Sus scrofa: one gene and its partner. The protein of the gene in region 2 purifies or fractionates together with the protein of the main gene of each other region. This does not show direct contact. Links are inferred from orthologs where the notes say so. Each region holds a gene or a part of one and is shown on either strand. Other genes may lie near its edges.

Region 1 (3,517 bases), on a different chromosome or scaffold from region 2:
GGTCTGCATCATCCCTGTCAGCGGCAGCCTCCCTCCCCTCCAGCAACAAACCCCGTTTAAACAGAAAAATAACCGTGCACAGAAGAGGGTCTGTCTACGTTTCTACGTGGGATGCAGAATCGTGATACGTCTTAGAATTCTGTAGCTCACGTCTTCCTTTTTAAACAAATACAGTTTTATCATTCCATCAACATGTATTTGCAAGCGCCGGTTTCCCAACATTCATGCCGTTCTGGCACAATAACGTGCCTCCGAAGTATATAATAAATCAGGAGACTTAAAAAAGGCAACGCGAGGGCTGTCTTGCTTTGCTTCTTACTCTGAGACAATATGGAAGCCATCTCCAGGGCTTCAACAGATAGGGAAATTAAATGCAAGTAATTAGTATAAAAAGATACCCAATTATACATAATCAACAAAGATTTATGGTAATTTCAAAGCAGTTACTGCCTGTGCAAGGAGCTACATTTTGTCATCTGATCTTTATGCAAAATTTAACAGAAGGGCTTCTACCAACGGGGAAAGCTCAAGGGGAAGACGGACGCCAGCGTGCTGTTGATTTTGCCACTAGACTCCCATAGACGTTCTTGTCCACAACCGAGAAATCTCTCCAAGCCATGAAGACGACGGCCTTTTAAAGTAAAATCACCCTCGGCTGTCCCCACAAAGCAACAAGTGTTTGTTTTTTTTAATTGATGCATCTGCCATCCCACCTGATAAACCAAGATGAAAAATCCAAACCTGCTGTGATCGTGTGCTTTGACAATTACAAAGCAGATCGGTCATCTGGGTTTGGGAAGGCGACTCAAGGCTTGGAAGGGAAATGAATCTCTTTTTACGTTTTTAATGAAAAAAATAAAACCAGCAGTTCCTGCTGTGGCGCAGTGGGGTCAAGAATCTGACTGCAGTGGCTCGGGTCACAGAAGAGGTGCAGGTTTGATCCCTGGCTCCGGGCAGTGGGTTAAAGGATCCAGTATTGATATCTGCAGCTCGGATTCAATCCCTGGCCAGGGAACTTCCATATGCTGCAGGTGTGGCCATTTAAAAAAACAAACCTTCCAATACATACATACACACACACACACACACACACACACGCAGGCACGCAGGCACGCGCACACACACCAACAGTATCTCACACACACGTACAACAACAGTGTACTTCCCTGTTTGTATATTTTATCTCAAGAAGTCTTTCAAAAACCTTCCTCTAACCTAGGAAAGAGGGGTGGAGGGGTGCCTACTCAAGTTGTACTGCCCTCATTGGCCCCTTGGAAGAATGACAAACTGCAAAACATTAATATGAGCAGGACATGAAAATGGTTTTTCGCTTTTTTTTTTTTTTTTTTTAAGCTTTTAAATGCAAGCTATTATCGCATATGCACGAGTGGAGATGAGGCGTGATTGTGAGGCCGGCGGTGACACCCAGATGGCAATGTCACTGGTCCCTTCCTCAGCAGCCTTTCGCTTCACTGACAGAGGGGTCACACCGCTTACAGGCTTAAGCGTGTCAGCATCTCTTTGAGCTCGTGGGAAGCCCGTCCTCCCAGCCCCAACTTCAGGAGCGAGGCTGAGAGCCTGCATTTGCAGAATGCCCACTGCGGTGCAGGTCTCACCTCCTGCACGTCTCACCTCCTGCAGGGCCTCCCCCCGACTCACGGACCTGGAGCATTTACTCCGTCACTTCCCCAGTATCAAAGTTGGTACAGGAGGGGAACAGGACTCCAGGCCAGGTCTGCCCCCAAACCAAAGCTGGGCCCTCGGCATCCTGACCTTTGCACATCCTGCGGGGAGACAGGGTACAAGAACAGCCTCCGGGGCAGGACTATACATGCCTCGGGTCTCTGTGTGTAACTCTGAAAAGTCCTTTCAGGATTCTAGCCTAGGGAATTCCTGCTGTGGCTCAGCAGTAACAAAGCTGACCAGTATCCATGAGGACGCAGGTTCAAGCCCTGGCCTTGCTCCGTGAGTTAAGGATCCAGCATTTGCTGTGGTATAGGTCACAGTTTCAGCTCAGATCCAGCATTGCTGTGGCTGTGGTATAGGCCGGCAGCTGTAGCTCCGATTCAACCCCTAGCCTGGGAACTTCAACATGCCGCAGGTATGGCCCTAAAAAGCAAAAAAAAAAAAAAAAAAAGCATTCTAATCTCTACTACTGAATACACAAATTGTTTTAGGCTGCTAACAATGAGCCCACTTACCCTCTTACCCCTTCCTCAGCCAAAATCTTGGCTAAAACCGTGGTCACCCTGTCACCCTGGTCCCTTGCTGTGCACACAGGTGCCTGCCTGCTCAGCAGGGCCCTCAGCTCCCTGAGATGCCAGAATCTGGGCTCAGTGGCCCCTGGCTACCAGGGCTCCAGGAGGCCAGGCCGAGGCCTTGAGCCCTGGCTTCCTGTGCCTGTGTGACCCGGGCAACGCCCTTGTTGGCTTGTATTCTTCCATCAGACAAAGAGGGAAATCCTACCCCTCAGGGAGTTTTTATCAGGGCGCAGAAGAACTTGGGCGGTTAAAACGATTGCTGAAAAAGAGGAAGAAACACTTACAAAAACTGAGGCGTGGACAGAAAGTTTCTTCCTCCCAAGTCCATTGGGTATCTGAACATGAGGAAGAAATAAAGGTGTCCAACGAGATTTCCGATAAGCTCGTTGATGACCCTGCGGACAGAAAGCCAAGAGTTTAAAGACGGTCGAGTAGTAAAGTGAGAGGCCCCAAGTTTTAACTAAGAGCACAGGGCTCAGATCCTTCGAGACCGCCCATTTCTGGGCCCTGGGAGTCGGTGACAGCTCGACAGTGAGCCCTGTCATCGTCTGAGTGGCGAACGCATCCTGAATGAGACGGGACGTCCATCCTGCTGGACCAGCGCGGCCTGTGCTCTTCAAGGCCAGCTGCTCCTCTGACATCTCTTTCAAGCCCCAGCCCATCCTCAAAATACGGTTTTTGCTACTTCCGGCCTCCAAGGTTGGGGGAGCTGCAAAGCAAGCTTCTGAATGCTACCAGATGTGAACACCGCATTTGCAAAATGGCAGATGTGAGGGCGGGCAAGAGAGACGCAGGGACGGAAAGGAGGGAGCGTCCATGTCCACTCCCCTCTTCCAGACACGGACCCAGGGCTCATTTGCCTTTGCCCTTGTGTCCCTGACTGTGAGACATCATAGCGATCACCTTGGAAAGCTGACCTTCACCTTGTAATCCTGGATTCACAGATCCACTCCTACATAGCCTCCCGTCTTCACCTCTAGGGGACTCCTGTTGTAGGAAATCAGTGTCTACACCTCCTCCCAGACCTGACTGCTCTTCTGGCCGCAGGGCAGTTCTACCGAGCTTGCTCTGCTCTAAACAGAGTCTGTGTACTCGACTCATTCCCTCCCTCCTATGGATGCAGTTCAAGTCAGGACCACACGGAGCAAAGACGTCAGGTGTATTAAGCACTAGTACTATCATAAAACCGAAACAGACTCACAGACACAGCAAATAAACGTATGGCTACCAAAGCGGGGGGAGATGGGAGGGAGAAG
Region 2 (4,071 bases):
ACCTCCCCTTTCTTGCAAAAACTCATATATCCTAGCTTCCCCCGTCGCCTCCTCAGAGCGTTTTCTCAGGACTCCCTGAGATGCTGTCTCCCGGGCTTAAGTCCTAATTTCACCCCAAATAAAACTTAACTCTCAACTTTCAGGTTGTATTTTTTTGGTCAACAGTCTCATGGAGTGGTTTGTAATCTTCAACTTATAAGATGTGACAAATGAGGCTCAGAGAGAGTCGGTAATTTTCTCAAGGCCACACAGCGGGTCAAGCTCAGCTGAGACAGAGAGGTCTCTGTGCTTCTGGCCTGCTGCCCTGTGTACAGGGGTTTCTTCCCCCAATAACTGCCTCCCTGCAGCAGGAGCTTAGCTGCTTCTAAGGACTGGGCACACAGGGAGTCAGGGGGTCCCAAGCTCAGCACTGTTTCTGGGCTGGAAAACTGTACGCTGCGGGGGGCTGTCCTGTGCACTGTAATGGGTTTAGCAGCATCCTGGATAAAATGAGATCCCAGTGGCACCTCCCCAAGCCCCCGATGTGACAATCAAACATTCTCTAGGCATGGCCCAGGGTCCCCTGGGGTCCAAGCGTGCCTGTGGGATCCCGTGTTGGGGTAGGAAGGGCTCAGAGGCACACTGGGGAGGGAGACTTCCTTTTGCCTGCTTTGAACGTACTTTCCTCATTTCAGAATGGGTTTGGGTTGGATGATGCCTAACTGAACGTGCTCACTGGGGCCGAAGTGTTTGTAGGACTCCATTATTTTGGGGTGTTCATTCTTCCGGGATGAGGACCTTGTCAAGGGGTCCCTGGACGTTGCTGTGGCATGTCGTGCCAGGCCTTCAGATAATCATTGCCTTATCTGTCACCTGAGCAGCTCAGATGCCTCTGTGGTCCTTCGGCTGCAGGGACTTTGATGACCCCCCCCACCATCAAAAGGCGTCATGACAATAGCCCTTGAGAATTGTACCAACTAAACACTCACATGCAGCCAGGCCCCTGGAAGCCTTCCCCAGCTTTCTTCAGGAAGAAGGCAGTGGGTTTTGCAAACGAACGCTTTTAGGATCCGTGAGGGGCCAGCAGTCAGCAGCTTAGGCCATGAACCCAGATAAGAAAAGGGAGGAGGTGACAGAAAAGATAGCAGGGTTATCTGAGGAGTTAATGAGTATACCTCCACCTCTCAGAGGAGGAGTTCCAACAAGAGGTCAAGGCCAGGGGTCCACTGGGCAGGAGGGTGGCCGCCAGGGAGCAGAGATGGGGACCTGGAGCTGTCTTCCGAAAATTTGGGGAACAAAGGATCACAGGGCCTCTGCTCTCTCCAGTCACATAGTGGCGGGCACGGGGTCTACAAGGCCAGGCCAAGGACTCCGGTGCTGCCTGAAGGTTAAAGGAACAAGATAAGAAAGTAGAATTCTCTTCAAAAAAAAAAAAAAAAAAAAAAAGAAGAAGAAGAGAGAGAGAGAGAGAGAGAAAGGAAAGAATGAAAGAAAAAGAAAAGGAAACAACGGTATCTACATAAAAACAAAAATGAAAAATGAAACCCAGCTAGTGCCCTGTGGGGCTCCTGGGCACACAGGCCTTTCTGTGTCCCCCATTTCTTGTTTTTAGGGAATCGGCTTCGGGCTCCATGACCTTCCCTGAGCCCCAAAGGGCAGCTGCTCATCAGGGAAGGGAGGGAACACAGAGACCAGGGAGGAGTCTCCAAGAAACAGCAGTGCAGCCTTGAGGCGGGGTCCTGGTTCCTCCTCAAGGAATGTACATAAAAATATGTTTGAGCCTTTCTGCAGAACTAGACCCCCCAGCAAGTGGAAGAACGATTTGAGGAAGAAGTCTTCATTCTGGGAAGAAGGAGGACCGCTGGAACCCGTCCCGGGGCCACTAACCACCAGCTTTGAGAGAGAATGCAAACTTGCATCTACCCCGATTCTTGTCTGCAGCCCCATTTCCCACTCCTGAGCTGTAAGAGCCCTCCCGTTCTCTCCAAAGGAGGGCACAGTCTTTAGGGCATTACCCCGTGGCGGCCTCTTTGCCAGGCAAGGCAATAAAGCTATTTTTCTCTCCTTCACCCAACTCTGTGTCTGTGTTTCTATTCGGCACTGGTGGACAGAGGCTGAGTTTGGGCAACAAAAACAAACAAGTTAAAAAGAAAGAGAGAGAGAGAGAGAGAGGATCCAGAAACAGAGGGGCAGGGGAGTGGGGGGCCCCCGAGGGGACTTGGCTCTGACTCCTGCAGGGAGAAGAGACCCAGGTGAAGACCCCCGAGGCCACAGGACCCTGTCCAAGCTTGGGGAGAGTGGAAGAAGGAGAAAATCAACCTGAAGCAGCCCAGCCCAGCAGCCGGTGTGCCCAGGGCCTCGTGGGCTGAGGGCCTGGAATGCGGAATAATCACTTCCCTACCGCCCGTGCTGAGCAGAACAGCAAAGACTCAACGGCGGCTTTCACATCCTGACCTGGCAGATCAGAGCCGAGTGTGTCTGTATCTCAGCTTCCGCCTCGGTCCAGTGGGCCAGCCTCACCCACCAGCGTCGGCTCCGCAGGGGCCTGAGGGAGAGCTACTCACTCGGCAGATGGAGGGAACTCACTTATTCCCCGGGGAGGCTCCCTGGTTGGACGCTCGCGGGCTGCTCCATACGGGGCCTTGCCTTGCCTACTTATAGGGCGGTCGCAGTCGCTGGGTCCCATGGGCCCAGGAAGAGCCTTCCCCACCCCCACCCTCTCCGGAGCCCAGCCAGCGGGTGTTGATACCATCTGAGGGCCTTGCTGTTCTTCCCTGAAGTGGCCCAGCCCAGCGGAACCAGGTGTGGGGCTTCAAGGCCCCTGCAAGGAGATTGAACTCGAAGCCTCTGGCCAAGACAAGAATTACCAGACCCAGGGGTGGGGGTGGGGTGCGAGGGATGGAGCCGGGGTTTGGAATTGGCATTATGCACTCTGGGGTATATGGAACGATTGATTGGCCAAAGGGCACCTGCTGTCTAGCACAGGGAACCCTACCCAGGATTCCGTGATAATCTCTGTGGGAAAAGAATCAGAGAGAATGGATGTGTGTCCATGCAGGACTGGGTCACTTTGCTGTACAGCAGAAATGATCACAGCCTTGTAAATTAACAATACTTCAATAAAGCTTAAAAAAAAAGAAATACCAAAAAAAAAAAAGAATTACCAGACTCTTGTCTTAGCCCCACCCATCTCATTGTAATGCCCCCTCCCCCACCTCGAGCAACCTGGCCTACTCTTTCCTGCCCCTACTAGGAAAGGCGAGTGGCCCACTCCTCACCCCACCCCTATGGGGGCCTTATCCTCCCCCCAAGCCACCAGTAAGTGTATCCTAAGACCCCTCCCCAACAAATCAGCAGGTCAGCCGGTATATCCTGAGACCACTCCTCTCCACGGGCTATAAAAACAGACACAACCACTCGCCCAAGGTCAGCTCTTGCTGATCATCTGAAAGTTGTCCTTCTGCTCCAGCAGCATCTCTTATCTCAATAAACTCTTGTTTCTTTTCCCCTCGCTGTGCTGGAAATTCTTCTCCTGACTCTTGAGCACAGACCGAGACACCAGGGGGTACAAGGCCCCTTGGGAGGGTGGGGTGATGGAAGCCCCATGGCCTTGCACGACCCAGGGTTCATCTCTCCTGGATACTCATCCTCCAGAGCTGCTGAGGGGGTGAATGAGTCCGGTAGGTCCAGAGCCTGGTACCACGCCTGATGTGTGGTGAATCACCAGTAAATGTCAGCTGCCTGACGGAACCGGCTTTATGACTGCCGTGGTCCCAGCCCTAGGAGACCACGTAGGAGGAGCTGGACTCTGTGTCCTTTGGGCTCCAAAGCCCCTTCTTCCAGGTGCAGAAGGGAGAAAACAGGCAATTGCCAGGTGCCAAGTCGCAGAGGTATCGCGTGAAAGAATGACACTGGGTCATCCTGATGCAGTTAGCATCTTACAGAATATTGGGACCTCAAGTGACTTAGGGCTCTCATTTTTATCATGGAGGGAGGCGATCACCCTAGTTCCTGGGATATGTGAGTGGTAGAGCCTGGGACAAGCTCAAGGGAGAGGGAAGCTAGCCCCCAAACCACTACTCTCAGAATCTG

What was found.
Region 1: the proteins of alpha-1-antiproteinase-like (region 2) and DERL1 purify together in Homo sapiens (affinity purification with western blotting; 4 studies listed by BioGRID). This does not show direct contact. The link is inferred for Sus scrofa from reciprocal best matches to the Homo sapiens genes SERPINA1 and DERL1.

What each region holds. Positions count from the first base shown.
Region 1 is NC_010446.5:16,334,399-16,337,915, reverse strand, and holds part of DERL1 (derlin-1), read right to left. Parts: intron 2,657-3,517; coding exon 2,546-2,656; intron 1-2,545. UniProt on the Homo sapiens protein: Functional component of endoplasmic reticulum-associated degradation (ERAD) for misfolded lumenal proteins. Forms homotetramers which encircle a large channel traversing the endoplasmic reticulum (ER) membrane.
Region 2 is NC_010449.5:115,593,065-115,597,135, forward strand, and holds the start of alpha-1-antiproteinase-like, read right to left. Parts: upstream 2,801-4,071; 5' UTR 2,732-2,800; coding exon 2,544-2,731; exon of another isoform or gene 2,434-2,543; intron 2,416-2,433; exon of another isoform or gene 2,299-2,415; intron 1-2,298.